Rhinolophus ferrumequinum: one gene and its partners. The protein of the gene in region 4 purifies or fractionates together with the protein of the main gene of each other region. This does not show direct contact. Links are inferred from orthologs where the notes say so. Each region holds a gene or a part of one and is shown on either strand. Other genes may lie near its edges.

Evidence for each region.
Region 1: the proteins of MAP1LC3A (region 4) and CLTC purify together in Homo sapiens (affinity purification with mass spectrometry; 3 studies listed by BioGRID and IntAct, with this or other methods). This does not show direct contact. The link is inferred for Rhinolophus ferrumequinum from reciprocal best matches to the Homo sapiens genes MAP1LC3A and CLTC.
Region 2: the proteins of MAP1LC3A (region 4) and KEAP1 purify together in Homo sapiens (affinity purification with mass spectrometry; 3 studies listed by BioGRID and IntAct, with this or other methods). This does not show direct contact. The link is inferred for Rhinolophus ferrumequinum from reciprocal best matches to the Homo sapiens genes MAP1LC3A and KEAP1.
Region 3: the proteins of MAP1LC3A (region 4) and CLTCL1 purify together in Homo sapiens (affinity purification with mass spectrometry; 3 studies listed by BioGRID and IntAct, with this or other methods). This does not show direct contact. The link is inferred for Rhinolophus ferrumequinum from reciprocal best matches to the Homo sapiens genes MAP1LC3A and CLTCL1.

The regions. Positions count from the first base shown.
Region 1 is NC_046304.1:26,489,106-26,496,589, reverse strand, and holds the start of CLTC (clathrin heavy chain 1), read left to right. Parts: upstream 1-4,466; 5' UTR 4,467-4,679; coding exon 4,680-4,721; intron 4,722-7,484. UniProt on the Homo sapiens protein: Clathrin is the major protein of the polyhedral coat of coated pits and vesicles. Two different adapter protein complexes link the clathrin lattice either to the plasma membrane or to the trans-Golgi network.
Region 2 is NC_046301.1:39,781,863-39,789,764, forward strand, and holds the start of KEAP1 (kelch-like ECH-associated protein 1), read left to right. Parts: upstream 1-4,895; 5' UTR 4,896-5,492; intron 5,493-5,837; exon of another isoform or gene 5,838-6,076; intron 6,077-7,617; 5' UTR 7,618-7,664; coding exon 7,665-7,902. Other genes in the region: S1PR5 (sphingosine 1-phosphate receptor 5), read left to right, coding at 767-2,106, 3,204-3,333. UniProt on the Homo sapiens protein: Substrate-specific adapter of a BCR (BTB-CUL3-RBX1) E3 ubiquitin ligase complex that regulates the response to oxidative stress by targeting NFE2L2/NRF2 for ubiquitination.
Region 3 is NC_046308.1:23,904,257-23,911,885, reverse strand, and holds the start of CLTCL1 (clathrin heavy chain 2), read left to right. Parts: upstream 1-4,623; 5' UTR 4,624-5,069; coding exon 5,070-5,111; intron 5,112-7,629. UniProt on the Homo sapiens protein: Clathrin is the major protein of the polyhedral coat of coated pits and vesicles. Two different adapter protein complexes link the clathrin lattice either to the plasma membrane or to the trans-Golgi network.
Region 4 is NC_046306.1:20,672,413-20,678,652, reverse strand, and holds MAP1LC3A (microtubule-associated proteins 1A/1B light chain 3A), read left to right. Parts: upstream 1-3,873; 5' UTR 3,874-4,309; coding exon 4,310-4,349; intron 4,350-4,616; coding exon 4,617-4,672; intron 4,673-4,756; coding exon 4,757-4,863; intron 4,864-5,131; coding exon 5,132-5,294; 3' UTR 5,295-5,727; downstream 5,728-6,240. Other genes in the region: PIGU (phosphatidylinositol glycan anchor biosynthesis class U protein), read right to left, coding at 6,213-6,240. UniProt on the Homo sapiens protein: Ubiquitin-like modifier involved in formation of autophagosomal vacuoles (autophagosomes). While LC3s are involved in elongation of the phagophore membrane, the GABARAP/GATE-16 subfamily is essential for a later stage in autophagosome maturation.

The DNA of each region.
Region 1 (7,484 bases), on a different chromosome or scaffold from region 4:
ATTTTTCATGCCTTTTAGTGCTAACAGGGTTGGTTCAAAGAAGAAAAATAAAATTTAAATCAATAACCATGAGGTAGGTTCATATGAATACTACATATTTTTCATTACTGGAGTGTAATGAATAGTAGTTGTATGATTGTATACATTAAACTCACAATTATTTGGAATATGAGCAACCAGGAAAAGAAAATAACCCGGTTTTGGGTTTATTTTACATGATCCTCTTTTATCAGTCATGACATGTTACTAAGGCAATTTTTAAAAAGTCATTTCTAGTGTGTTCTAAATTTGGTACATACTCGGACCAGGCAACATTTGCAGGAGTATTGTACAAAAACATCACAGTGATGAACCTGAGGCCTTTTTAAGTTTCATAATTGCTTTCCCTACATAAAACGTTTTTTTTTTGAAAAGCCTTTTCAAAAGATTTTAACATTATTTTTCATTTTTTTGTACTGAAAAGTATTTGTTGACCATGTAAATTCAATTTTACACTTCCTTGAAACTTTGCTATTATTCAGTTAGTGAAAACTTTACCAAATCTCAGTCCTTAGCCATTCTGTTCTGAAGTAGAGTTTACTACCATAACAAGGCCACATATGTGTACATTGCCACTGATGGGAGTACCTACCCCTGGAGTGTGACAGAATTTTAAGATTACTGAGAGAACACGTTTGTGGGTCATGCCTTATTTTGAATTGGAGACAGTAATAACTCTAGAAAGTGAAAAGACAGTTCCACATGTTTAGAAAGGAGGAAAAAAATAGCCCTTAACAATCATTCCCACGCCTTGAGCCTCATTGCCCTTCATTCTATAGATCCTCTCAAGCTTCTTGTGACTTGTTTTTGGTTGTAAAAGAGATGTTGTGATGTGGCATTTGATCCCCTATTGATCAGCAGGGTTATAACTTCTGGGTTTTCTGTCCACAATGCTCTATCACTATATTTGAACCAACCTTCCTGAGATGACTTTGTAAGGTAGTGTTATTATAAGCTTTATTCCTCTGCTGGCCTCTGATTTAACCTTTAGAAAACATGCGAGGGGCCTGTGTAATATGAATAGATTCCAGACCGTATTCCCACAGGACTAGTCTTGGCTATCCTGACATGGAATAAAGATTCACTATAGATCTTATTGCCATCTTTGAAGCATTATAAACTTGTCTATGTAAATTAGGTTTAGGGCAAGCCTGAGTGAATGATACTGAGTATCCGAGTTAAGTTCGAGAACATTTCATTCTAAAAAAGGCCACAAAATTTTTTTTCTTTTTGTGTCCTTTTGGGTGAGCGTTGCCTATAATCAGTGCCTTATACAGGGCTAAAATAAAGCGAGCACTGTATGTTGACTGATACCTGAGCCACTTACTGTGCGTTTGATGTACTGCCCTTGATTTAATCCTGCTGGGATTCGTATCAGTGGCCCTAGAGGGCTGAGATGTTTCAAAGCTGCGGTTTAAATGGCAAAACCACTTATCTTACTTGGGTAATGCTAAAGTATATCCTGTTTGGTTTTGCTAAAATCTGAATTTTAAATATTTGGTACTGGTGGATTAGGTTTAAAGTTCTGCTTTAAAATTAATCTCTTAATGTTTGAGGAATGCCTTTACGTTGTGGTTTTTGCAATGCAACTAGCTCACACTGTTTTTAAAAGGTCAAGTTAAACAGCAGGGACCTTAATTCAGGGACTGCTTGAAGATGAATAATACAGAGGAACTTTCGACAATGATAAGTTTTTCTGAGGTGTCATTCTCATGTGAGGTTAACCTGTATTATAGTTATCGGCATAAAACATAAAAAAGGTTTTGAGAAATTGGCACGCCTTAAAATAGATGAACAATGCAGTTTTTGCTAATGGTGCTTGCTGTGACTCAGAGCAAGGATATTCTGCTAAAAAAATAGCTTCAAATTGAAAGAACTTGGACCATTTTTTAAACATGGCTACCTTACCTAAACCATTTTCTGAAACCAAAGGATGATGATACATTTATAGTAGTACTCTTATTAAAAGACTTTGTCATACTTAGGGGGGAAAAACCCCCAGCATTTGTTTTCTGGTTTATTAGGCTATTTATTTTCTTCTCTAACTTAATATGGTACCTGAAAACAAAGCCCTTCAGTTACTGCTCAGGTAACTGTTCATAGTGACTCAGCCTTTGGGGCTTCTAAACCAAGGATTGACAATCTTTTTTTCCCTGCCTCTGCATCTTTAGCGACAACAGCATACTACCATACAAAGCTCTTATTACCTCAGCCAAAATTACTGATTTTTAAAATGCAATTTTGGTTTTTCAATTTTTTACCATCTGGACCATTTTTTTCTCTTGAAAAATTTTGGATTTTTTGATTTGAAGTATACAGTGTTCAAAATGAGCGGGTATATTGTAATCTATTTTTATTCTCCCTAAATGATTTCTGAGAACTATGCATTCACTAGATTTCTGTGTGTGATGACACAGCAGTCACTTTAACACAACCTCAGTGCACTTTTGGTTAGATATTGCCCACCAAATATCCAAGCTAAAATCAATTCCTTTGGGGATTCTAAATGTAGTTAAAATTACACAGGTCTGTACGAAAACACAAGTTATTAATAAATTTCAGTGGCTTGTTCATGATATAATTTGTATCCCAGATTATAATTGGAAACGTTTCTTAAGCTATAGCTTTTACTGGAATAAAACAATAAGTCCTATAGATTTTTAATTTAGAATTTGTCTATTTCCAGAAAGGATTGAAAGTAGCTATTATACTGGTATTAGGAAGGTCATTTACAATGTTGCAGAATACAGAACATCTTCAAGTATTTGGCTTAACAAAATGAAATTTTGCCAAGCATAAATATTTACTCTTATGACATGGTGGCAAGGCTTTTCTTTGCAGAACGTTCTCTGCTGTTTCTTACCTGCCAAAGATTCTTCCCTCATCCTCAGTATGTGACATATATTTTGGAAAAAACAAAGCAATTTAAATGATGAAGCAAACTTCTCTAGGCAAAACTGCTTAACACACAAAATCATTGCATACTTAATAGTGTTCTACGTTTTTAACTGGGAAGGGCACTAAAAATCACTGTATACTTGAGTATTTCCTCAAGATCTTTCTGGAAAAATAATCACATCTCTTATCAAGATGAAAGGCACGGAACTAAATTTTTTTTTGTCATTGTATTTGTGCTAGTATGAAATATTACAGCTTACAATTTAGCAATAAAGTACTGGGAAGGTTATTAATCGTTAATTAATACCATAGATACATTAATGCTGTTAGAAAGACATGACACTCCTGCTTTGAAGCGCTTACATTTCCAAACAGTGCTAATTTATAAGCAATGTGGAGGTGGCCCTGCCAATAGTTAGTTAATCCCTTTCTCCAAGAGTGTTCATTAGCCACACCGAGGAAGAACCTTAAGGTTTTACAAACCACCCTTAACCTAATTATCTAAATCTTCCGAGTCTCGTGATTTGATGTGGCCAAAAGATTCCTGCTACAATTTTGGTCCAGTTCTTCCGCGTATTTATGATACTCAAACCCTTTAACACCAAAAAATGTATTACTAAGCTAGGCCGATATGCATGTCCGCCAAAATGTCCGCAGAAACGTTAAAAGCTATCACAAGGCCAGTTTGAGATACCTCAGAAATGGCCTTCACTGTCCTTCGAGCCACTTTTTAAAGTAACATCCGAAGAGACTGCTAGCTCTTAGTTAAGAATCCAAGCGTGTCTCTCCAACCGTCAGAAGGGTGTGCATAGGGCAGGGAGGATTTTAAACCCCATTTCACTCCCCCGTCCCTGAGATGTAAGAAAACACCCACTATATGAAACTAGGCGGGGGAGAACTGCAGCCAGCTGCCAAAAAAGCGCTCTGCAGGGAGGTCGTTTCCCTGAGTCACGGAGAGGGCGGGAGGCTGGGCCCATCTGCCCACTCCACGTTCTCTTCGTAAGGGATTCAGTTTAAATAGGCAGGACCCACAGGGAACGGGAGCAGCACCACCATTCCTCAAGGCGGTCCAACAGCCACCGCATTCCCAGGAGACTCCACATTTCTCTAGAACTCGTTCTGCATTCTGGCAGCAATCAGCCAACCCATCCTGACCAGCATCACGTGCACCCGGAAGTACGTGGGTGGGACCTAAAGCGCCCACGGAAATGACGTCGGTCGCCCCTAGTCGCATGATGTGGCAAAATGCAAAAAAAAAAAAAAAAGAAAAAAAAGAAAGGAGGGAGGGAAAAGCCGGAGGCTGGGGAAAGTGATGAGTCCAAAAAAGTAGTCCCTTCGCTTCCTCCAATTCCCCTCATGTGTCAGCAGTAAGCGAGTCCCACAGCGCATTGCGTCCAGAATTCCTGCGCCCGCAGCACCGCGGCGCTCCGTGGAGGGGTACATAAGACGGAGGGGGTGAGGTGACTTGGGCGGAGTTCTGTCGCCGGGATCCCTCCGCAGGGCTCAGCCGTTTCCGGAGTCTGCGCTGCGCCCGGTTCCGCCATTGCGGCTCTCCCGGACCCTGGAGCCTCCGCCCCCGACCCGAGCTCTTTCGTCTGCCTGCCAGTTTCCTGCGTCCCCGGAGAGTATCCTGCTGAGCCCAGCCTACCCCCTCCCTTTTCTCCTCCTCTCCCTTGGAGAGTCCGGGCAGCCACTGCCCCGCAGCCCCAGTGACAGGAGGAGACCATACCCCCGACAGCGCCATGGCCCAGATTCTGCCAATTCGTTTTCAGGAGCATCTTCAGGTGCGACTGGGCCCTGGCTGGTCAGGGCTGTGGAGAGGGTGGTAAGGAGGAGAAAGCTGGAGTCTAGGCCAAGCAAAAAGCTGAATCGGAGGTGGGGGTGGGGGTTGTCGGTGTCCGGGGTAGATGGAGGATGGGGGCGCTATTTTGGAAAGCTTAAAGGGTTAAGTGATGTGGGGTTTGGATGGAAAGGACGAGAGTCGGGGTGCAAAGTGCCGCGAGGCCTGTCGTGGGTTCGAGGGCCTTTCTGTCTTCGCTTCCTGGATGGCAAGAACTGCGCATACTAACTCCACCCCTCTCCCCGTTTTATTCAGTTCATTCATTTGGATAGGTTGGAGCGGGGGGAATTCTCCGTGTTTCTTCCGGAGCAAGGGTTTCATCGCCTAGGTCAGTGCAGGGCTGTCACCTCCCATTGCTCTTTTTCCCCCAACGTGTCTGCACCCAGGAGTTGTAGGGCGGGTGGGTTGGGGAGGAGCAATCTTTTTCTTCCTTCCTTTTGCGGCTCTCATCTGGGAAAGGCACCTTCCCCTGGGGGTGGGGGGAACGGCGGTGGTTTGCCTCTTGCCATCCCCGAGGCAGTAGGAACAGAAGGTCACTGAAGGAACTGGAGGATAGAATGGAGGAACGTATTTCTCAGGGCGGTGTCAATCTGAGTGCGTGGGGTCAAGGTCCCTAGGGGAACTCGCCTTTTTTCCCCTCTCTCTTGAGTCCTGGGCATGGAATGGCCCTCAATCCCCTCTTTGGTTCTGGAAGGTAGGAAGGGTTATGGAGAGGTTATCTTGGGGTCTGCTGGAGTGTAGCAGGTAGTTGTGGGCGTGAGTACCTCCCTCAGGTTTGCTGGAATCAAATCAAGCCCTGAGGATAAAGCACACCTGCTCTGAGATATGCAAGGTTTTGGGCCTGTAATTGGCTTCCTTTTCGTAGGTTCTAGAATTCTTCCCCATGGTGCGTTATCCTGTAGACAACATACTGTCTTATCTGGCAACATGCCCAGGGAGGGCCCAGGCAGGTGATCATTGGAAGGTTTGACTGAATTAAGCCTTTTCTGAGCTGATTTCCCTGGTTCACCAATCCTGGTTTCACTTTGGCTGAAATAATTTATTAATATTAATGTGCTTTCTTCCGAAATACCCCTTAAAGAGGCTTGCCTCAGCTCAATCTTCTGAAGAGCTAATTTCACAATGATAAAAGAGACTGGTTTGACATGACACTAATACTAGTGACCTATTGGCTATCGGACACTTTACCACTAGAAGGCTAATTTTATTTACTTTTTTCCCATTGGTATAACATACATTAAGGATTCTTGTTAATAAAAAGGTTTAATGTATCAGTAACATAATTTCATATTTCTTTACAGGTATTATCACCTTTGCTTGCATCAGCAAGAAATTCTTTTCCTTTTAAGTCTTGAAATGTAATGAATAATCTTTACTCAGAAAATGAGTTAAGTAATGCCTTTTCTTCAATCATCTATGGTTTTCAGATAACTTATCTGAAGTAATGGAACACTATTTTACAAAAGGTTAAAAAAATGTTAAGTGACCTAATGGACACGGAGAAGTTATTGTTTATGCTCAATCTAAATTTTAATTGCTGTGCTTACTTCTGTTCAAGTGGGGTGTAAATGAATGTGTAGGTTTAGGGGAAAAATGTCCTTGGGTGTGGGGGAAAACACAGGCTTCTCACACTGAAGTGCATATGATGTATAATCTTTCTGCAGACAGAGGTTTGTAAAATCATACACAAGAGAAGCAGGTATAGTTGCTGATTACAAGGCAGAAATACAGCCCACTAGTAAGTCTTATTTCTTAACTAGTGGTGGTTTGAGCAATAGCTTGTCACACCTAATTAAGAAGAAACAAGAATTGTTAAATAATCCCAACGATTGGAATCCAACCTTTTAACTGATTGAAGACAGGTTTAATGTGAAGACGGTCTGATATCTAAAGTATTTGAAATTTCTGCAAATACTTGAGTGAAGCCATTTTCTTCTCAAATAATTTGAAGATTTGAGCATAAAGCAGCTTTGTAAATATACTTGAATAATTTAGTCATCCCTTTTTTGGACTAATATGCCATGCCTAAACTTAAGCTTGCTACTGTGACTTTGTACTCCAACTGGTAGTGATTAGTTGTGCAAGGATCCCCAATCACCAACCTCTTCCAGGAAAATATACTCCTGACTTCTCATTTTTATCCCTTCCTTTTTTAAAAATAAATAAGAGTTGTTTTAATTAGCATTTTAGGTCTTTGACCTCTGAGTCCTGCCAGTTTGCTAAGTAGCAGAAAACTTTCTGAAGCACGTAGGATAAAAATTGGGAACAAGAATTGAGGAACTTGAGTGTAGAGTTAGCTTGTGAAAGGTAGACTGTAAATGAATTTATTTCTATACTATGTAACTACTTTGGCCAACTGAAGGATCTATCATCAAGGCTTGAAATTGCAGCAAATAAATAATAATATTTTAAGTTATGAAAGATTTTTTTTTTCTCTTTTAGGATGTTTAGGCTGATAGCAGTCAACAGATGAGTGCCTATTTGAGACATTGCTAGAGTTGCAGATTCTAAAAAAAACAAAACCTTAGGCTACATATAAAATGTTGCCTGCAATTCTTAATTCTTTGCACATTAAGTATCTTTATGTCAATGAACACATTCCACTGTTTACCAGGTTTCTCAGGTCTGTAATTAAAAATCTCCACTCTGTTTTCTTCCCTTTGATCCGTAGACTCAGGCATGGAATATGTTGTGAGTTGAATGGTAG
Region 2 (7,902 bases), on a different chromosome or scaffold from region 4:
CATTCCCCTCCCCAGGCCTCAGTTTTCTCATGTTAAGTGGGGTCTGCGTGATTGTGTAGCCGTTTCTGCGTGGCTGTGTTTGTGTGGGAGCATCAAAACTTTTGTGCCTGTTTCTCTGCGAAGTACTTTTCAGCATCAGTTTCCTCGCCTTTAAATTGGGACTGATGGGAGAGATGTGTAGGGGACTAAAGGGCACAGTCGCAAGTGGGAAGTATTATTATACTTTAATGACATGTGTGCCCCTCTACAAGAGCCTGTCTGTGCGATGTGGATCCTGTCTGCTGCCTTCCGGCTCTGCCTCTATGAATTGGATGGATAGGCTTAACTTTCTCACGAGGTTTTGCGGTGGATGAAGGGAGTTTGGCAGGAAAAAGCCTTGTGTGCAACAAGACAAGTAGATTGTGGGGCTGGGACTCCAGGATGGGGTGTGGGTGGAGGTTGTGAAATTGTGGCCTGTACGACTGGGTGAGACCCTGTCTGCGTTTTGCAGAATTTGTGTTCCTGTATGTCTCTGCCTGTGTAGCTTTGCCCATGGGTGAATATATTTTCGTGTTTTCTTGATGGGGTCTGTGTATGTTTGCCCTAGTTCGTGTCACTGTATTTATATGTCCCTTTCTGTGTGTGGTTGTATTTGTGTGCGTTCTGTCTGTTTATAGTTGACTATGACTCTGGATATCCGTGTTTGTGTGTGAATTATGAGTATCCCTCAGCAACTGTGGGACTGTGTCACCCTGTCCCAATATTATTTCTGTGTGGGCCTGTTTCCATGGCCAGCCCCCTTCCATCCCAAACTCTCCCTGGGCCCCAGTGTACATGTGGGGTGGAGGGCAGGGGGTTAGGGCTCCTTTCCCAGTTCTGCGAGGCACATGCTCGCCTCCGCAGGCCGCGGGGATGGTGCGAGCCCAGCCTGACACTGCACCTGGCCTCTCTGCAGCCTTGGGGCAGGAGGCCCATGGATCCGGGGCTGCTGAGGCCGGCGCCGGTGAGCGAGGTCATCGTCCTGCACTACAACTACACCGGCAAGCTCCGCGGTGCGCGTTACCAGCCCGGCGCCGGACTGCGCGCCGACGCCGTCGTGTGCCTGGCTGTGTGCGCGCTCATCGTGCTCGAGAACTTGGCGGTACTGTTAGTGCTCGGACGCCACCCGCGCTTCCATGCGCCCATGTTCCTGCTCTTGGGCAGCCTCACACTGTCCGACCTGCTGGCTGGCGCCGCCTACGCCGCCAACATCCTACTGTCCGGGCCACTCACGCTGCGCCTGTCGCCCGCGCTCTGGTTTGCACGCGAGGGTGGCGTCTTTGTTGCTCTCGCCGCTTCTGTGCTGAGCCTCCTGGCCATCGCGCTGGAACGCCTCCTCACCATGGCGCGCAGGGGACCCGCGCCGGCTGCTGGTCGCGGGCGCACGCTGGCGCTGGCGGCCGCCGCCTGGGGTGTGTCGCTGCTCCTCGGGCTACTGCCAGCGCTGGGCTGGAATTGCCTGGGCCACCTGGACAACTGCTCCACAGTCCTTCCGCTTTACGCCAAGGCGTACCTGCTCTTCTGCGTACTCGCCTTCCTCTGCATCCTGGCCACCATCTGTGCGCTCTACGCGCGCATCTACTGCCAGGTGCGGGCCAACGCGCGGCGCCTGCGGGCTCGTCCTGGGGCTGTTGGGGGCCTCTCGAGCCGAGCGCGCCGCACGCCGCGCTCGCTGGCGCTGTTGCGTACTCTCAGTATAGTGCTCCTGGCCTTTGTGGTGTGTTGGGGCCCCCTCTTCCTGCTACTTTTGCTCGACGTGGCGTGCCCGGCGCGCGCCTGCCCCGTGCTCCTTCAGGCGGACCCCTTCCTAGGCCTGGCCATGGCCAACTCTCTTCTAAACCCCATCATCTACACGCTCACCAACCGTGACCTGCGCCACGCGCTCTTGCGCCTCGTCTGCTGCGGCCGCCGCCCTTGTGGCCGAGATTGGGGCGCCTCCCCGCGATCCGGGAGCGCCGCTGGGGCTTCGGACGGCCTACACCGCTGGCTGCCCCCGGACCTGGATGTCAGCTCTAGCCGCTCCGAGCGCTCGTCGCCCCTGCGGGACGGGCTGGACATCAGCGGCTCCAATAGCGCGCCCACAGCCGCGGAGACCCTGGTATCCGCACCCGCACCAGCTGCAGACTGACGCCTTCTGGCCCGCCATTGCCCTCCCTAAGAGATGTTTTGCAGACTTTTTTCTTTTTAAATAATAGAATTTATAGGAAAAGCAGCCGAAGATAGTGGAGGAAGAAGAGACACAGGGAAATGTACTTTATTGGCCTTAAGCCCCACAACAATGAACAAAACAGACAAGAATCTCTGCCCTTGTGGAATTGACGTTCTGGTGGGGGCACAGGCAATAAAGGAGTGAAGAAATAATGGAGACAGTTCCAGTGACAATACAGTGATGCGAATGTGGTCAGAGGACGCCTCTCTGCAGAGGTGGTGGTAACTGATGTGAGCTGAGACGTCATTGTCCTGGGAACACCTGAAGCAAGAGCACTTCCGGTGAGGGAACCACAGGTGCAAAGTCCATGAGACTGGAACGTTCCTATGTGCTCTATAAAAGCAAGGGCCCAGGTGTGGCTGGAGCATCAGTGAAGGTGAAGGCGGGAGAAAACAAAGGCAGGAAGATGACAGAGCAGATCACTGTGGGCTCAGGGAAGGACTTTACTTTTGTTCTAAGTGAGGTGGGAGCCATGGAGGGTTCTAGGTAGAGGAGGGTCTTGATTTGGTTCAGGTGTTCACAGATCTCTGTGTGAGGCAAAGGTGTAAGCTAGGAGAACAAGGTGAAGGTGACTGCACTGGCCTGGGGGAGAGATGATGTCAACTCGGATAGATTCTGGAAACAGCGAAAAGAATTACTGAGGAATTGAGTGTGAGAGTGAGAAAGAAAGTAGTCAAGGACAGCTCTGCAGTTTAGAGGGGAGGACACCAAAGACAGGACACCCTAAAATTTGACTCTGGGAGTCTCAGCCAATTCCTATCTGAAACAAGATGTCTTTGAGAGTGGTGTCAGATTCTTCATAAAAAATGAAAATATAATAAAATAATAATAAGAATTACAGCTTATTGTGCCTGGCTAGTCGCCCCACAGTGGTAAGCTCAGGACACACCTTTTTCTCACCCTTACTGCTACCTTGCAAGGTGGGTTTCCTCACCCCCATTTGACAGATGAGGGAACTCTAAGCAGTGAGTACCTTGCCCCAGTGTCTGAGCCAGGATACTTGCCGAGGCTGTCAGGCTCCCAGGCTCAGTCCTTGTGTCTGGCTCCTCCAGAGGGGTCTGCATTCTCGGCCTGGGGCGATACCAGGGCCCCGTTTGTGCCCATAAAAGGCTCCAGACGCCCTGGCCACGGTCCCCGGCTGTCCCTGAGCGCAGTCCTGACCCCTATGCGGCCTGGACCGTTGGGTGGGGCGTGCCGCGGAGTCACTTCGGGCTCAGACTGTGGCCCACCATCTGCCGGGAGACTGCGGAACTGCAGGCAGTCACAAAGCCATGTGTTTTGGAGGCACTCACCCAGCCTGGTGGCCTGAGTTTCCACCTGCCACACTCAGGTCCCAACAGGCTACACGCACGGGAAACCAACCTATTCTTGGAACACAAACACTCAAGCCTCGGGTCACGATCCCAGGACTGGACCCAATTCCCTACCTGCCCTGGTGCCCCCAATCCCAGGTTCCTTTCATATTCCAGGGGAGCCTGAAGTTCACCCCATTGTTTGGTTACTTGATGGCGTGATGGTAGATGTATTCACTTGTTCACATTTTACAAAAGTCAAAAAACACGTCCCCTTCTTGGACATGATCACTGTGGGGATTCCTGGGAAACTTCCAGAGCTATTCTGTGGATAAATGAGCTGAAATATAAATACATCTTCCCTCTTTCTACACAATTTTAGCACTGCTCTGCATCTTGCTTTGTTCACTTAATAGTATATCCTGGAAATTGTTGCCCATCCACAGATTTTTGTATTGTTTGGCTGCCTTAGTCTGCTCAGGATGCCATAACAAACACCACAGCCTCGGTGGCTGAAACAATAGAAATTTCTCACAGTTCTGGAGGCTGGAAGTCCCAGATGAGGGTGCCAGCATGGTCGGGTGCTGGTGAGGAATCTCTGCCTGGCTAGCAGACGGTCACCTTCCTATTGTGTGCTCTCATGGTGTACAGAAAGAGAAAAAAAAGCTCTCTGGTGTCTCTTCTTATAAGGGCACTAATCCCTTCATGGGGCCCCACCCTCATGACCTCATCTAAATCTAATCAATTCAGTCCATATCACTTGTTCTTTTTTTTTAAATTTTTAAATATTGAAGTAAAGTCATACAGCAAATGTCTTGCTCCTTTTCACTGACTGCATAGTATTTCCCAGCATGGATGTGCCACCACTTGTTACACGGAGAGACCCGTGGGTTGAGTCCAATCCTTTGCCTTTATACACAGCGCTGCAAAACACTTCAGTGTACACGTATGTGAGTATACCTTAGATAAATCTCTACAAGTGGCACTACTGGGTCACAGGGCCTGTAGGTTTGATTTTCATATATGAGAGGTTGCCTTAAGGATGGTGCGAGTTTTCCCACAGCTTCCGCCACTGCCAGTATTTGCCAACTATGCTATAGCGTCCCCCGCTGGAGGGGTCCAGAACCGCAGACTCGCGCATCTGGGAAGGCGGCGGAAGAAGGGTACCCCACCACATGCTCCTGCGCGGGTTTAATCCCAGACCCTGAGCAGGGACACTGAATCCTCCAAATTCAGTCTGGAGGCTGGCGGAATTCTTTCTTAAACCTCTTTGCGTTTCCATTATTCACTTAGTTTTCATAGAGGACTCTTTGAAAAATAGCCTTAAATACATTTATTTAAATGTTAACTTTATATCTTAAACAGCGTAAGTGGCAAGTCAGTATTCCATGCCATGAAAAATAGCGATAGTTAACATCTGTTAGGCACTCGCATTCGCATTTAGTGCTCCCGGTAACCAAGGTGCTAGCATTATTACCACCTCAAAGGGAGAAAACTGAAGCATGGAGAAGTCACAGGCCCACCCGCACAGAACCAGAGAGGGTGGCAGAGCGGGCCTTCGAACGCCCCGCAGGCGAGCTCCACGCACCTCTACATTAGAGATAACTAAAAAATATAGACAAAGAAACCCCAGCTAGATAGATAATTCTCGCTGGATCCTGCGGCCGTCGACCGTGAGACCTGCGTTAAAGAGAGAAGCGCAGGTCGTAGAGAGCAGCCCCGCGCTGAGACGACGAAATAGGTCGAATGAAAGGGACAGTGCGAAGGGGTAACGGGCTTTCCTGGCCGGGGCTCCGGGCACCTGCGGGAAGGGCGGAGAATCGCGGCTCCTTTCCCGCCGCGCCCTCTCCCCGCCTCCTTCCCGGGTGTCCCGAGGCCTCCCCTCACCCGACGGTCGAGACCCCTCAGGCTTTGCCTCCTGAGAGCCGAGGTCCCCTGACAGCGGAGGTGCCCGCGGGTCCGGGAGAGCGAAGGTTAGGCGGGAGACGCCCCCGGCGGGACTGCGGCCCCTCGGGTTTCCCGGAAGCTCAGCGCGCGGGTGGCACCACATTGCCCAGAGCCGCCGCCTTGTCCCAGGTATCCCCGCCCCGCGACAAGAGCTACCGAGGCTACGCAGGGGCCGAGGTGAGCGCGGCGGCGGCGGCGGCGGCGGGGAGGAGTGTCCACTGATGCCCGGTGTGGGCAGGGACGCGTCTGGCCTCGAACCCGGTGCCCCGATTCCCGCGGAGCTGACCACGCGGCTAGGTGCGCGGAGAGCTGCGGTCCCTGACCCCGCCGCGCCGCAATGACGAATGCTGTGGTCGCGGCGCTGGGGTTGCGCAGCTTGGCGACAGCCCGCGGGGTGGGAGAGCGGGGAGCGGCCACGGTGCCAACGCCGCCGCCTGAGGCCCCGGGCCGCGGGGACTTTTATTCTGACACGGCAAGCGCCAGGCTCTGCTTAGTCATGGTGACCTGCGCGCGCTCCGCGCCTCCCACCCCCACCCCCACCCCCCAGCGCAGCGATGGAGGCGCCGGGGCCTGGGCGACGGAGGCGGAGCCCGAGCGCGGCCATGGCGGGGTGAGTGAGCGGCCTGCGCCGGGGCTGCGGGCCCGGCGGGCCGGTTGCGCCCCTGCAGTCGTGCCGGGGGGCCGGGGGACGTGGCGCCGCGGGCCCGGTGGTCTGGGGGGTTCCCGTGGCCCCCGGAAGGCCAGGAGGGCGCGGCTCGAGTTCCATCCTTTTGTTGGACGGCGCGATTCGCGGGGTGGCCCGGGAACCACACAAGCCGGACGAGAGGCCTGGGGAGAGCCGCTCGGACGGAGTCCCGGGGACCCCGGGGCGTTTGGGTGCTTGACCTGCGCCCTGGGATTGGCAGTCAAGAGGCCTCGGTGGGGTTACTTCCTTCTCCAGGCCTCGGTGGCGGCTCAGGCGGGGCATGCGCAGTCCCCCACCTAGTGCTTCGTTAGGGGAAATGCCCAGGGGGCACCGTTGACCTGTTGGCCAAAGACCAAGAGGCAGACCCGGGGCCTTGGCTGGGGAGAGGTGGACAAGCGGCGCCCCGGGCCGGGTGAAGGAGGGTGCTCTGGTAGGCACAGTGGCGTGGGCAGTCAGCCAGCCATACCTTACTGACCCATGTGCAGTGCCAGACCCCAGGCTGGACTTGAGGGAGACACATGAGAGGGTGGGCACAACCCTGACCTGCCCTCTGAAGCGCTGGGGCTCAGGGCCAGAGGGACGGGTCACCCCTCAACAGGCAAGCAAAGAGGCTTATTTCAGTTCCTGACAAGTGGGGTGATGGAAATAAAACTGGGAGGTGACTCTATGCTGAGCCCCAGAAAGATAAGGTGGAGAACCTGGGGATCCTCTTGCAGATCCACCCCCCTTCTCCCCGCAGGACCTTTCAAAACACAACTCATGCTCCAGCCCTCCAGACTCCACAGGTTTCATGGAAACCCTCCCTTCAGTAGTCATTGTCTGTCATGACACACCTCCTTGCTTCTCCAGATTGTCTCATTCTGCTTCTGAGCCTTTTGCACTTACTCTTCCCTCTGCCTGGAAAACTAATGACTGTCACAATGTTGTCATTTTCTTCATGATCTCAATTTCTACTTAAGTCGCTTATTTTATTTATGGCCATTTTCCCCTCCCTCCCCCCCCAGGTATCAACTCCAGCACAGTTTTTGTTTGTCTTGCTCACTGCTGTGTCCCTGGTGCCTAGAACAGTGCCTGGTACACAGTAGATGCTCAATAAACGTTGGTGAGGTGAATGAAGGAGTGAATTGGACATGCTCTAGGAAGGGAAGGGCTACCTACCAAACAGAGTGAGCAAAGGGGAGAGGCGGACAGGGACGGAGTCTGAAGGGCTTTGCTGGCCATTGAAGTGTTCGGTTTTACTCTCCGTGCTGTAGACAGGTGTGGGGGGATTCTGAGCAAGGGGGTGACATCATGTGACATGTTTTAAGAGGGACTCTTGGGCTAATGAGGCCATAGGACATTTAGCAAGCACAAATGGATGCAGCTTCACCTGGGCTTGGCAAGGAAAACTGGTGTAGGAGTTGCTTTATCTTAATAAAGGCCTGGCCCCAGGCCCTGCCCCCAGCCCTGTGCTCTCCCTCCTCCAGGCCCCTGAGTGCCAGTGGTGGTGTTGTCCCTTGTCACCTGGAACCCCATGCAGCTGGAATCCAGGCCTAGCAGGGCTGGGGCCCGTACCCGATTCCTACCCCTGAGGTCACAGTGCCCCGACGGGGCAGGGGACACAGTGATGTACGCCTCCACCGAGTGCAAGGCTGAGGTGACACCTTCCCAGCATGGCAACCGCACCTTTAGCTACACACTGGAGGACCACACCAAGCAGGCCTTTGGCATCATGAATGAGCTGCGGCTCAGCCAGCAGCTGTGTGATGTCA
Region 3 (7,629 bases), on a different chromosome or scaffold from region 4:
CTTGGCAAGGTTTTGATTTATGACTTTTCCAGTGTTGTTCTCCCCCGGTTTGGTGAACTTTTGACATCTACTGTAATACTTACTATCCTATAAGCTTATTACTGTTTTTGGATACTCCTTACTGATGTTATTTGTGTAGTTAGCCAAGTGATTTTTGATCAATAGTAAACATATGCTTAGTAAACATATCACTTAAACTTGGGATTACTCCTTTGACATGACAGCGGTATCAATGTATATAGTTTAGTCTTCACCACCTTTACTTTCTGACATCAACATATTCTATTAATTGCCTTTGACTTTTACCATGGTATACTGCTAACTGGATTGAGTGAAGATTGCTAAATAAATAATCAATTAGCCCCTCTCTAGTGTGTGCTCCTCCTCCTCCTCCTTCTCCCCGCTCGACATTCAAAAGTAATCTGTCTTTTCCCTCTGACTGCTTTTAAGATTTTTTTTTTTTTTTAGTTTTCATCAGTTTTACTATGATATGCCCAAATGTGGTTTGTTTTTTATGAATTCTGATTGAAGTAATTCTTCTTGAACCTGAGGCTTGATCTATTTCATCAATTTTCAAAACACTCTAAGCCAGGGGTGTCCAAACTGTGGCCCATGGGCCAACTGCGGCCCATGATCCATTGTTAATTGGCCCACAACAAATTCCAAAAATATATTTAGTTTACTTAAATAAACCAGGTGAGGCAATACGTACTTCACCTCGAGTGAGTGGCCCGGCTGTTTGTGTATTTTTACCGCATATGGCCCTTGGTGAAAAACATTGAAAAAAGTTTGGACACCCCTGCTCTAAGCCATTATCTCTCCGGACATTGTGTCTGTCTCATCCTCTCCACGTCTAGGACTCCAATTACATGTATGTTAGTCCTTACTGTAGCCTCTATATTTATCTATATTTTGTACTTTCTATACTTTTCTCTCTGTGCTTTAATTTGGATATATTCTTCTGACCTAACTCCAACTTCATTAGTTTCCTCCTTTAGCTGTATATAACCTAACAAACACTATTCATTAAATTTCGATTATAGTCTTCAGTTCTAGAATTTCCATTTTGTTCCTTTTTTATTTGTTATTTATTTTTATTTTTATTTATTTATTTTTAAGGAGGGCACAACTCACAGTGGCCCATGTGGGGATCAAACCGGTAACCTTGGTGTTATTAGCACCACACTCTAACCAACTGAGTTAACCAGCCACCCTCTTTTTCTAAAGTTTAATAAAATTCTCAGTCGTATCTTTTATTCTCTTAGCCATATTAAGCATAGTCCTTTCAAAGTCTTTGGGAAAACTCCATTATCTGAATCCTCTATAGATCTATTTGTTACTTCTCTTGATTTACAATCATTTGTCCTATCTTCTTGGATTCCTACTTATTTCTGATTGAGTGCTGATCATTGCATATGAAATAATTTGAGGCTTATCATGAGGTTGTCTCTCTCCCAAGAGAATTTATGTTTGCTGCTGGCAAGGACTGACATGATTTGAATGGAGTCCCAAACAATTTGTGTTCCAAAAGCAAAACATTAGGGTCTCTCCTGGGTGATCCCCAGACTTCAAACTTTGTCTTCCTATGTCTCTGAGTGTGTTAAAAGTGCTGCCCAGAACCCTAATTTCTCTGACACTCCTCTGGAATTGGCAGATATCCCTCAGGAAAAAGCATCCCAAATGCCAGGCTAACCGCTCTCATTTCTTCTTTTCTCTTGGATATTGACCCCATAATTATTTCTGCCTTGTTAGTTCTCTGATGCTTTCTGGAAACAGAAGCTATCCATGGACTTTTTAATTTCATGTATTGGAAAACCCCATGAGAATTGGAATTTAGCTATAACGTGTTTCCTAGGCCGGTTTTTAAGTTTGTCTTTCAGTTCTATTTTCCTTTCCCCATCTATAAACTGCTTTATGGTGCTGGCACTAAGACTCTTTAAACTATATTTCTGTACTGGCAGAAACTCCCTGCCCATAGGGATGCTGGAGGGCAACTGCAGGGTCTGCTCCTGTGGACATCACCCCAGCTACACTCTTCAACAAGTCAGAGCAGGTTCTTCCCACAGAAGAAGCTGAATCCAGTCTGAAATTTTTCCAAGACTTGCATAACCAGCCTCAATGCACGTCCTCCTCAGAGGTCTGGGACCTGGCCCCACAGCCCCTCAGCAGCAGTGTGCACCTAAGTCTCATAGGGACACTTCTCAGAGGTCTACGTCCCTACCCCATGGAAACCCTCCTCTAGGCTTAGAGACTCTCTTTCCAGAGGCCTGAGTTCCAGCGCTGTAGTGCTCTTCCTCTAAACTGAAATATTTCTAGTTTCATCCCATTCATCCCTGAGCTGTAGGGATGGTAGCTACTTTCTATACTTGTACATCCATGATAACTTGGGGTTCTCGTTTTACCCTCCCAGCTGCCTAGTTATCAGCTTTATTTATGTTAACTATTGTTTATACTCCAGTCCCTCTGTTAAATAACTGGCGTGGTTTCTGTCTCCTGAAGGATTCTTATTGATGTAGTTCCCATCCTTGTCCTTCCTCTATTCTCATTTTATTTATCTCACAACATGATTAGATATTTTGGTCCCACTTAGTATGTGATGACCAAGCTTTACAGTACTTTATTACATTTGCATTTCTAGAATTTCTATTTGGTTCATTTTTAAATCTGCTTGGTCATTCTTTATAGTTTCAGGTTTCCTGCATGTATTTGTTCCCCAGCATGTATTTTTAAGCTTGCCAGTTAGCTCTTTAAACATATTAAATATAGTAACTTATGGTAGTTACAAAATAGTCATGAGGATGCAAAGTACAGCATAGAGAATATAGTCAATAATGTTGCAATAATTGTGTATAGTGCCAGGTGGGTACTAGACTAATGCAGGGAATCACTGCATAAATTATATAAATATCTAACCACTACGCTGCACACCTGAAACTAATATAAAATAATATTGAATGTCAATTGTAACTGAAAAACAATAATTAAAAAATAAATATACTAATTTAAAGTCTGTTTGTGTGTGATAATTTCATCATTTCAATCTTTGTGAGTCTGTATCTGCCTTTTAGTTCTCCTGGTTCTTTCTTGTGGTGCTTTGTTTTCCTGAGTGTTATTTTGTTGTTGTTGTTGTTTTGTTTTGTTTTTACCATGAGCTGCACATTTTCCTTGGAATTTTATTTGTAGGAAGAAGGTCTGCAAGAAAGACTGTAGAATAGATACCCTGGGTGGAATACTAAAGTGTCTGTGCCCAGCTATCATGAAGTTCTCTTTCTTGCCAACACAGTTATCAAAGTTTTGTCCTTCACTGATGTGATAGGTAGAAAAAGTACATAATATAAATGTAATGTATATATAGAGAGATACAGAGATACATAATCAGTATGGTTTTAATTTACCTTTTTTATGAGCGAAGTTGGGCATTTTTTTCATGTGTAAGAATCAGTTGTATTTCTTTTTTATGTATTATTTGTTCATATATTTTTGCCCATCTTTCTGTTTGGTTGGTGGTCTTATTGAGTTGTAGGATCTCATCATTTCTATCGTGAAGATTAAGAAAGCACAAAGAATTGAAAGACTTTTGACAGGATTACTTGGCAAGTCACACAGCAACGGTAAGAATATTAAGACCCTTTTCAGGTAAGAATGTTTAGTTCCTTTATAAATATAGACACCAGGCAAAGTTCTGACTTATTTGCAATCCTACCATTTTGATTATGCATTATTTTCCTTTCTTCTGGGGTGTAAATTTTTAGTTTTGACCCCCCCAAAAAAAAGCCCTGGGTGGGTGATCTAGGGAATGATACTATTAATACTAAAGGATTTATATGTTTGGGGTAAAGGGTACTTGAGATCATAGGCATTATTGCCAAGATAGAGAAATGTAGTGTTACCCACAGCAAAAATCGGCTCTATTGTTAGGTGATGAGGCCACACAGATGTTGAAAGGGCAGTCTGCAGAGGTAATACTGGAAAAGAGATTTAATTTGCAAGTGAACAGTGTGTTCTCTTTAACATTTTTGGCTACTATATTGAAAAGTTAATGTGCAAATAATTGCATCGCTGTATTATTCAGGGTGGACCATTCGTTTCTTAAAATGACCACTGAGCAACCTGAAACAGTAGAGGATAGCGATTACTCTGTGAGAGTGCCAACGCAGAATGCCAAAAGCTTCCCCTTGCCTGACAAACATCTTTTATGCAGCCGAGCCATCTATATGCAAAACACATCTTCAAATGGTGCCTCTGAAAACAACTGGCTGCTGGGCAAGGCAGGTGTGGACTCTAGTTCCGGACTTGCTACTGCTATGTATTGTGCGACCACAGGCAACCCAGGTGATTCTCACTGGCTTTTGGTTGGTCATCTGCTGCTACCGTGTATGTTATCTTTGCAGACTCGTCGCACTGATATTCTGACACAGTATTCTCTAGAAAACGAATGAACCCGGAAAGATGTTTCCTATAGGAGCGGGGGCTGAGCCTTGCTCAGGAACACATCTGTCACATACTTCGAAGACTCCTTTGGCGGTGTTTTGGGCACATCTGTGCCTGAATTTTAAAAAGTGCCTCTGAACTCAACTGTCCAGAGTTTGAGGTAGAACTTTTCTACATATGGACGGCTCTAGGCAAGAGCAGCCTGGTAACTTGGTTTACCTCTTCTTCTAACCCCGTCACTCACGGAATTTACTGAGGGCAGCCCACGCCTAGTTTTCCGCCACACACACCTGTCCTGGGCATTGGCCCACTGCAGTCAGAGCCCGAGTCCACCTTCCGGTGCTCACCTTTCCTGAGCACAGACCCGGACAGCACAGACTCGCCTTGGCTTGGGGTGCCGGAAGTAAGGCTACGCGCGGACTACTTTTCGCGGACCCTCGGAAGGCGGGCGGAGGGATCCCGCGCACTCTCACGCGGAAGGGGTACGTGCGGCGAAGCCCAGGCAATGCGCCTGCGCGGCGGCGGCTGCGACCTCTGTTGCCGCTGCCTCCCGTCAGTGGGTCGGCGCGTCTGCCTGTCCGCGGGTCTGTCCACACGAGGGGAGCTGTCGCTTTCCCCTCCTCTGCTCCGCGTCCGCCATGGCGCAGGTCCTCCCCATCCGTTTCCAGGAGCACCTCCAGGTGAGGACCGAGCTCCCGCACCGAGGGAGCGGCGGGCGGGCTCCAGGGCGGGTCTCGCGCTGGGTCCTGTCAGCCGCGTCCCCGACCTCCCGGGGGACCCGGCGGCGCCGCTGACCGGCCGGCGGCCCCCAACCGACTCCAGTGGAGACGGCGCGGCTCGGGAGCCTAATGGCCGGGGCGGGCAGGCGGGTGGGTGTCGGGCGCGGTGGCCGCGTCCCGGGAAACCGTTATCCCGCAGCGACTGTCGGCTCTGGGGGTGCGGTCTGGGTAACCCTTCTCGGGCGACTCAGACCTCGGGAATGCTCAGAGTGCCGAGTGATGGAAACCATAAACTGCCGAAACCTGTCGTAGTGCCTTTGAAAAGCTTTAACTGACTAGCGGTGCGCATGCATTCGAATCCCAAGCTTTATAACTCCAAAACCTGTGTCCAATCCTAAAATTTCCCTTTTGCATCTCGTGATACTTACGCCGGAGTTTGCGTCTGTTGACTTGCAGAGTCGCTAGTGTGGCCTCGTGGGAGAGGATCTTCAAATTGTGTGACCAAAGAAGAAAAGTAATCATAGTGTTTTTTTCAGAAGATCCTTTCAATACGATAATAATACCCTCGAAGTTTAGCTTTTTAATGAGGTCCCACTTTCTTCTATCTATAACTCTCCTGATATAGTTGTGCCTGAGGAAAAGAAAGATTGGCTGCCTGTGTTTGAACGAAGTTCGGTACAAGCACTGGGCACAGCGCTCCGCTCACATACACTCAGGTGTCATACCTGTGAAGGGTAATACGATTCTCACTTTACAGGTGAGGAGATGGGGCTAGATGAATAGTAGCTACCAGCTCTTTCTTAAGTGCTTTATGTTAAATCATTACACTTCATAAAATACGCAGTATTTCCCCTGTTTTCTAAAGAAGGAAACTGAGGCACAAGATGTTAAATGAGTAACTTGTCCTCAGTCATTCATTGAACAAGAGAAGGATTCAGACTTGGGTCTTTTTGACTACACAGCTATACAGCAAGGAATTTGGTGGATTGAAAGGTCGTGTTTTCACAACACAGTGCACTTTTAACTCTATATCCAAACGAGAAAGGCCCTGGGAGTCTATAGTGACTGTTCAAATCGCCCCCATCCCGCAGATTGAAAACTTGATACCTGAGTATCCTGCCAGGGTTACTCGGTTAGTGATATAGCTGGTTGTGTGGAGGTGGAAGTCTCCCAAACACCCATCTCCTTCCTGGGCTCCATTCTACCACTGACCCAAGCCTGTTGCCAGTTATGTAGAACAGCAAAATACTACTACTGCTATTAGAATAATATAGTCATCATTTATTGAGCTGTTTCTCTTGCCAGTCACGATACTGTATATTTTAGAAATCTCATTTAATTTAACTCACGATAATTGAGGCACGAAGAGGTTAAGTAATTCAGGTAAAATTACACAGCTGGTAAGTGACAGAGCTTGGGTTCTAACCAGGTCTCTGACTCCAAAGCCTGTGCTTTAGCCACTGTCAAAATACATTCTTTTCAAAAGGTAGGGAAGCACTAAGGCATTTTAAATACCCATCAAAGTTCATAATGCCTTGAAGGGACATATTCTATTATCTGGAAAATATGTGTGGCTTGTGGCATACAGGCCATGAGAGTAGAAATCTGTGGTTTGTGGTTTCTGGCACTAACCAGTGTGAAGGCTGCTTTGCACTCCTTGTTTATTATCTAGCCTGCACACTCTCCCTTCACGGCAGACATTTCAGAACTTCCACCTTGTCCTTAAATCCCTGATCCTGCCACTCCCTCTCACTGCCAGCAGGTAATTAGAGAAACAAGGCATAAGCTGGTATGTTCCTCACCTTGATGCATGCGGCCTTACAAACTTGTATGCGATCTCCCTTTTCTGCCTTCCTGTTACCTCCAAAGTGGGGTTCTTTTTCTTGTGTATGTAATGGGGCCTTGCTCGGTAGCATCTTGTCTTTCCCGTATTTTCATCCATTTCCTCTTAGTGGGTTCTTCCTGCTTGTGCTTAACCATGCTCATATTGCTTCCATCTTTACAGCAAACTTCTTCCTCCCATGTCCTCCTGAAGCTCTTACTTCATGGCCAGACGTCATGAAAGAATTGCCCTATCCCTTCTTCACTTCCCTTATGTTCCTCAATAACCTGCAGTCTGGTTTTTGTCCCCCTTGCCAAGGTCACATGCAGACATGTCGTTATGCAGACTTTTTTTGTAAAGGACCAGAGAGTATATATATTCAGCTTTGAGGGCCACATATTGTTTCTTGTCACAAATTCTTCCTTTTTTTTTTAACCTTCTAAAAAATGTAAAATCCATTTTTAGTTGGGCCATACAAAAACAGGTTATGGTTTGCCAATCCCTGCTGTAAAACATAAACTCCATCACGGGGATGTAAAGTACATCACAGGAGATATAGTCAATAATATTGAAGTAACTGTGTATGATATCAGATGGGTACTAGACTTATCGGGGTGATCACTTCATAAGTTATATGATGTCTAATCACTATTTTGT
Region 4 (6,240 bases):
AGAAGAGAAGGGGGAGAGGAGGAAGCAGTCAGCAGAGAAACCAGAGGATTGAAGGAGAGGTGTTAGTCTGCTGACTGGTCGGGTAAGAGGAAGAGTGAGCACAGACTTTGAGATTTGGGGGATGGGCCCCTCCCCCACTGCAGCCTCAGCCCAGGGCTTAGTCTGACAAAAGAGAGGTGTAACCACTTCCCCAAGGCCATGGCCAGCCTAGTTCTTTCCATTGCTCTTATTGGCTCTTATTACACTTAGTCTCATGCAACTTTGTGTTTGTGAGATTTGTCCACTTTGACACACATATCTGTAGATCAAGAGTCAGCAAACTAAGGCCCTAGGGTCAAGTTTGTTTTAGCAAATAGCCACAGCCATGCCCACTCTGGTTGTCTAAGATTGCTTCCACACTCCAACAGGACTGAGTGGTTACCAGGGCCACATGGCTGGCAAAGCCAAAAATATTTATTGTCTTGTCTTTTAAAGGGAAAGTTTGCTGACTCCTTCTCTTCCTCTTTCACTATAACAGTGTGTTGTTCTGTTATAGAAATACACCACGATATTTAACTGGACATTTAGGCGGTCGCAATTTTTTGCTATTATGAAAATGCTCCACTAAACATACCTGTGTTTCTTTGGGCTCACGTGCACTCGAAAGTAGAATCCCTGGTTTGTAAAATATGGGCATCTTCAGTTCTGATAGATTTTGCCAAATTGTTCTCCAGGGTGGCTGAAAAGATTTATACTCCCATAAGCAGCGTAAAAAGTTCCCATATTCCTCTAAAACTTGGTATAAAACTAATAAAACTAACTTTATTAGTTGGCAATCTTTTATATATATATCTACACATATATATATTCTTTTATATATATGTGTAGATATATATTTTATATATATATAAAAGAATATATATATATGAGAATATATGTATATGAGTATATATACATATATATGTGTGTGTGTATATATATATATATATATGTATATATATATATGAGAACACTGTGTTTCTCTAGGGTCTATCAGCTCCAAGTCATTGTCCTTCAATCTAGGGCGCAGCTCAGCTCCGAGGCCAGTCGCTATTTTCAGTCTTTAGTTGCAGGGGGTGCAGCCCCCTCATCCCATGAGGGAATTGAATCTGCAACCTTGTTGAGAGCTCACAGTCTAACCAACTGAGCCATCCGGCCGTCCTACCGTTTCCCCAAAAATAAGACCTAGCCGGACAATTAGCTCTAATGAGTCTTTTGGAGCAAAAATTAATATAAGACTTGGTCTTATAGTAAAATAAGGGTCTTTTATTATGTTAGATAAGATCTGATCTTATAGTAAAATATAATTTTACTTATAGTAAAATAAGACTGGGTCTTATCTAACATAATTAAAGACCCTTATTTTACTATAATATAAGACCAAGTCTTATATTAATTTTTGCTCCAAAAGACGCATTAGAACTGATTGTCTGGCTAGGTCTTATTTTCGGTATGAAACACGGTGTTGGCAATCTTTTATTGTTTGTAGATTCCTTGGGTTATTCTGGCTGTGAATGATAGTTTTGCTCTTTTTGCTCTTTTTTTAGTCTTGGTGCTCTGGCTGGGACCTCCATATAATACTGCATTTTGTTTGATGAAAAAATTTTAAATTTTGTTCCTGGCTTTGAAGGGAACAATGCTTAACATTTTACCATATACTGTGGTATTTTACCATTAAGTATAATGTTTGCTCCAAGTTTGGTTATTTTTATTTATTTATTTTTTTGGGAGAACACTTAGGAAACCATTTGGACTAGTTGGCTTTTTGAGGTATATGGCTACTCAGTTTGCCTATTTCTTTTTCATTTAGTCTTGGCAAATTATCTTTTTTGAGAAAATTGTTATTTCATCTAAATTTTAAACTTATTGGCATGAAGTTTATATAATCTTATTTTTGTCATTTCTGATATATATAGTTATGTCCTTTTGAAATTAATTTTATTTTATTGATCTTTTCAAAGATCTAGCTTTGTTTTGTGGTCCATACTAGTGTTTGTTTTCTATTTCATCAATTTCTCTTCTTCATTATTATCATCCTTAACTTTCTTTGTGTTTACATTGTTATTCCTTTTTAAAATTCTTTGACACTGCTAATAAATTTCCTGTATTCTTACCTAATATAACAAGGCTATAAATCTTCTAAATGCTGCTTTTAGCTGCTCGGAGTTTTTATTTTATTCTCATTTTTGGTTTGATCTAAATAATTTTCATTTCTGTATGATTTCATCTTTGAGTAGTAAGTTTTTTAGAAGAATGTTTAAATGTCCAAACATTTGGAGTCTACTTGGCTCATGTCTGTGGTCAGGGAATATGGTCTATATGAAACCGATTAGTTGATATCTGTTGAGAAATTTCTTGGAGTCTCCTAGTTAGGTTTTTTTTTTTTTTTTTGTAAATGTTTCTTGTGTGCTGGAAAGTAACATATTGGGTTCAGGGTTCTATCAGGGTCCATTGATCAGGACTATTGATAGTATTAAAATCGTCTATATTCTTTTTTCGACTGTTTGGTCTTCAGTTACTGAAAGAGGTCTTACTTAAATCTCCTACCCTGCTGGAGGATTTGGCCATTTTTCCTTGTATCTGGTTACTTTTGCTTTATACATTTTCAATACTTTTTTTAAACTTCTAACATACAAGTTCAGAATTGTTGTATTTTCCTAGAAAATTGTTCTTTTAACCATTTTGTGGTGACCCTCTTTATCCCTAAGCACATCTTTTTCCTTACAGCCTATTTGGTCTGATTTTCTTATATCTTTTGGTTAGTTTTTCTGAAGTATACCTTTTGCCACCTTTTCACTGTTGGTGCCCTAAGGTTTTAAATGTCCTCTTGTAAACAGCCTAGAGCTGCATTTTATTTTTCTTGGCCAATCTGATCATCTGTTTTAATAGGTGAATATAAAACATTTTCTACCTCTGATTATGCGCCATTTATAATCCTTTCTTTTTACTTTGCCTCCTTTTTCTTTTTTTCTGCCTTCCATATTTTAATACCCTTTACTAACTTTTTTCCTGCATTGGCAGTTATACTTTCTATTCTTTTAGTGATTTCTCTTAAATGTCTGAAATACATATTTGACTTTACAAAGCTAGACAATTATCATTAACTTCCTCCTCCTCTCCTATAAATCAAGCTTCTTAGAATGCTGAACTCTGGTTACCCTCTCCAGTCTTACCTGGCCCTGTGTTCAGTGCTCCTTGTTTTGCACTCCACAAATTAATCATCACTAGTCATGTTCCAATTAAGTGCTTGTTTAGATGACTTACATGTTTACCAATTTAATTGCTCACCATTTTGCCATCTAATTTCTTGTCTTTAGAGTTCTGCAAATTCACTAAAAAGTACCTAAATGCTTTTATTTTTATTTATCCTGCTCTGGATTTTATGTGAGGATCCTGGTCTTTAATTTTGGAAGCTCTTCAGGAACTGCCTCTCTTATATTCTTTCCTCTCTGGAACTCTAACTGGACATGGGCATTCTTCTCACTTTACCATTCCAGTCACTTCCTCTTTTATACTCCGTCCCATCACCTTTTTTATCTATTTAATTGCTTCTGATTATCCTCCAATTCAGAGAGATTCTCTTCTGCTGTGTCTAATCTGCTTTCTTGCCTCATTCTTTGCGATGTGAATTTCAATAGTTCTATTTTTCAATTCTAGAAATTCCTTTTTTAAACCTCTATGTTCCTTTTTAGGGCCTTGCTCTTTCATGTTTTAATTTCCCCACCCCACCTTTTTCTTTCTCTAACCATAAGCTTCATGAAGGCGAGGAGGACTTTTGGTTCACTGCTGTCATTCTCAGCACTCGTACTGTCTTGGAACTGACAGACTCGAGTGTGCGCTGTCACATGACAGTGACAGCAGGAATAGAGGATGCTGAGCCGCAGTCTGGCCTGCGAGTCCAGGCTTTCCAGGCTCTGCTCAGCCGGGGCCAGGGGGAGAGAGACCCGCGCAGGCCATGACATCATGGGACTGTGACGTGCTCTGGGAGCCCCCGCCCTTCATAGTTAGTGCGCGCTGGGAATCCAGGCTCTCTGCGCCCTGACATCACGGTCCGGGCGGGCGGGTTTTGCGTCGGCCCAATGGGAGTGGCGCGCCGGCCTCCCCTTTAAGGAATGTTGTGACCTGACGTCACCCGGGCGAGTTACCTCCCCGAGTCTCCGCCGCCGGGCTCAGCGTGAGCCCCGGAGCCCTTGAGCGCGAGGTACAGAGCCCCCGGAACCCCTGAACCGCAGCCACATCCCCGCGCCGTGCGCCCCGGAGCCTCGGCCTGTGCGCCCGCCGGGCCCGCGAGATGCCCTCGGACCGGCCTTTCAAGCAGCGGCGGAGCTTCGGTGAGGCCCGGCGGGCAATCAGCGACAGTGTGTGTGGGGGGGTGGGGGGCGCGACCGACAGGGCTGCCGCAGGTGACGTCAGCCCGGTGACGTCAGGCTCCAGCTGGACCCCAGGCTGGCAGGCAGGTTCAGGCCTGGGCCCCGGCCTGCCCGACGGCTCCAGGGGTGGGGGCTTTGGGGAGGTAGGGCCGGAGGGGCCACACCTCTGGGACAGGCGGAGTGAGCCGCGAAGAGGGCCCAGCTTCACTGCCCGACCTCCTTCCGCAGCCGACCGCTGTAAGGAGGTGCAGCAGATCCGCGACCAGCACCCCAGCAAGATCCCGGTGAGTCCCTCCGCCCCCTAAGCTCCCCGCCCGGCCCCAGGCCCCGCCCCGGGCTCACGCGTTGCCGCCCCACACGGTTCCCAGGTAATCATTGAGCGCTACAAGGGTGAGAAGCAGCTGCCTGTCCTGGACAAGACCAAGTTCCTGGTCCCGGACCATGTCAATATGAGCGAGTTGGTCAAGATAATCCGGTGCGTGGGCAGTACTGTCAGGGGGGACTCGGGTCCTGCTGGGGTCAAGCAGTGGGCCAGGTCCTGAGAAGGGCTCGGGTGGGGCAGGGCATGGGGCGTTGGGTACCTGTTCTGGGGAGGGTGGGAAAGGTCAAGGTCAGGGCTGGGGTCAGCGTCAGGTGAGAGCCTCTAGATGGGGCTGGGATGCGTGGGAATCAGAGGCTGGGCATCATTTGGGGGAAATCTGAGCTGCGCCCACCCAGCAGCCAGGGCCTCCTGTCCACCGCAGGCGCCGCCTGCAGCTGAACCCCACGCAGGCCTTCTTCCTGCTGGTGAACCAGCACAGCATGGTGAGCGTGTCCACGCCCATCGCGGACATCTATGAGCAGGAGAAGGATGACGATGGCTTCCTCTACATGGTCTACGCCTCCCAGGAAACCTTCGGCTTCTGAGCCAGCAGTAGGGGGGGCTGGCCTGGGAGTGGGGGGCCCTGTCAGGCTCTGCCCAGGGAGCTCCTGGCTCCTGCACTGAGCTGCCTCTGCCTCTTAGGTCGGGGCAGGGATGCCACCCCTTGGGGGCACCAACCACTCCATCTCTGCCCTGGGTAGATCCTGAGCCAGTCATGTTAGGGTTGTCCCTCTGGGTGCTGGCGGGTGGGGAGCAGCCCCCAGCACCCCTGCTCTGTCTGGTTCGTTTTTTTGTTTGTTTTTTTTTTAGGCCCCTGCCTGTCTGTCCACCTGCCCCTCCCCCACTCGAGGCGCTGTCCCCAGCCTGGACCCACCCACCCCTGAAGGTCTGGCCCCTGGCTCACCTGGCCTTCACATGGTGTATGAATCTGTGGGCATTGTCCTTCTGCAGAATAAAGATTGCTCAGGCCTGCCTGGCCCTTTGCCTCCAGCTGCTTGGGAGGGGTGGGGAGGACTCTTGGTGGGGCTGTCTCATGCTATTCTTGGCTCGCCAGTGCACATACTTGGATCCTGTGGATTTAGGGTTCATTCTGGAAACCCACATCCTTGTGAAGTGTACCAATGCAGTATTAGGGGCCAAGCCCACGTCTTCATAACAAAAACCATTTATTAAGTACCCACAACCTAACAAACCCTTCTCACCCTTCTTCCCTTTTCCTGCCTGGGAGGGGGCTCCTTGGTGTGCAGAGAGACAAAAGGGGGGTCCAAGTGGAGGTGCTCCTGGCAGCCAAGGTGCCACAGACCTTGCTGCTAGCCTTGGCTCCTCTTTGGTGCCAGGATTCGTGACACTGGACTTGAACCTCTTCTAAGGACTTGTCTGCTGGCACCTCCGGCTCGAGGGCTTGGCCCAGCTTCTGGCCTTCCCACCCCATGAAGTCCATGCAGCCTTGTGCCCAGCCAGGCCTATTTGAGCACAAGCATGGCCTCGGTG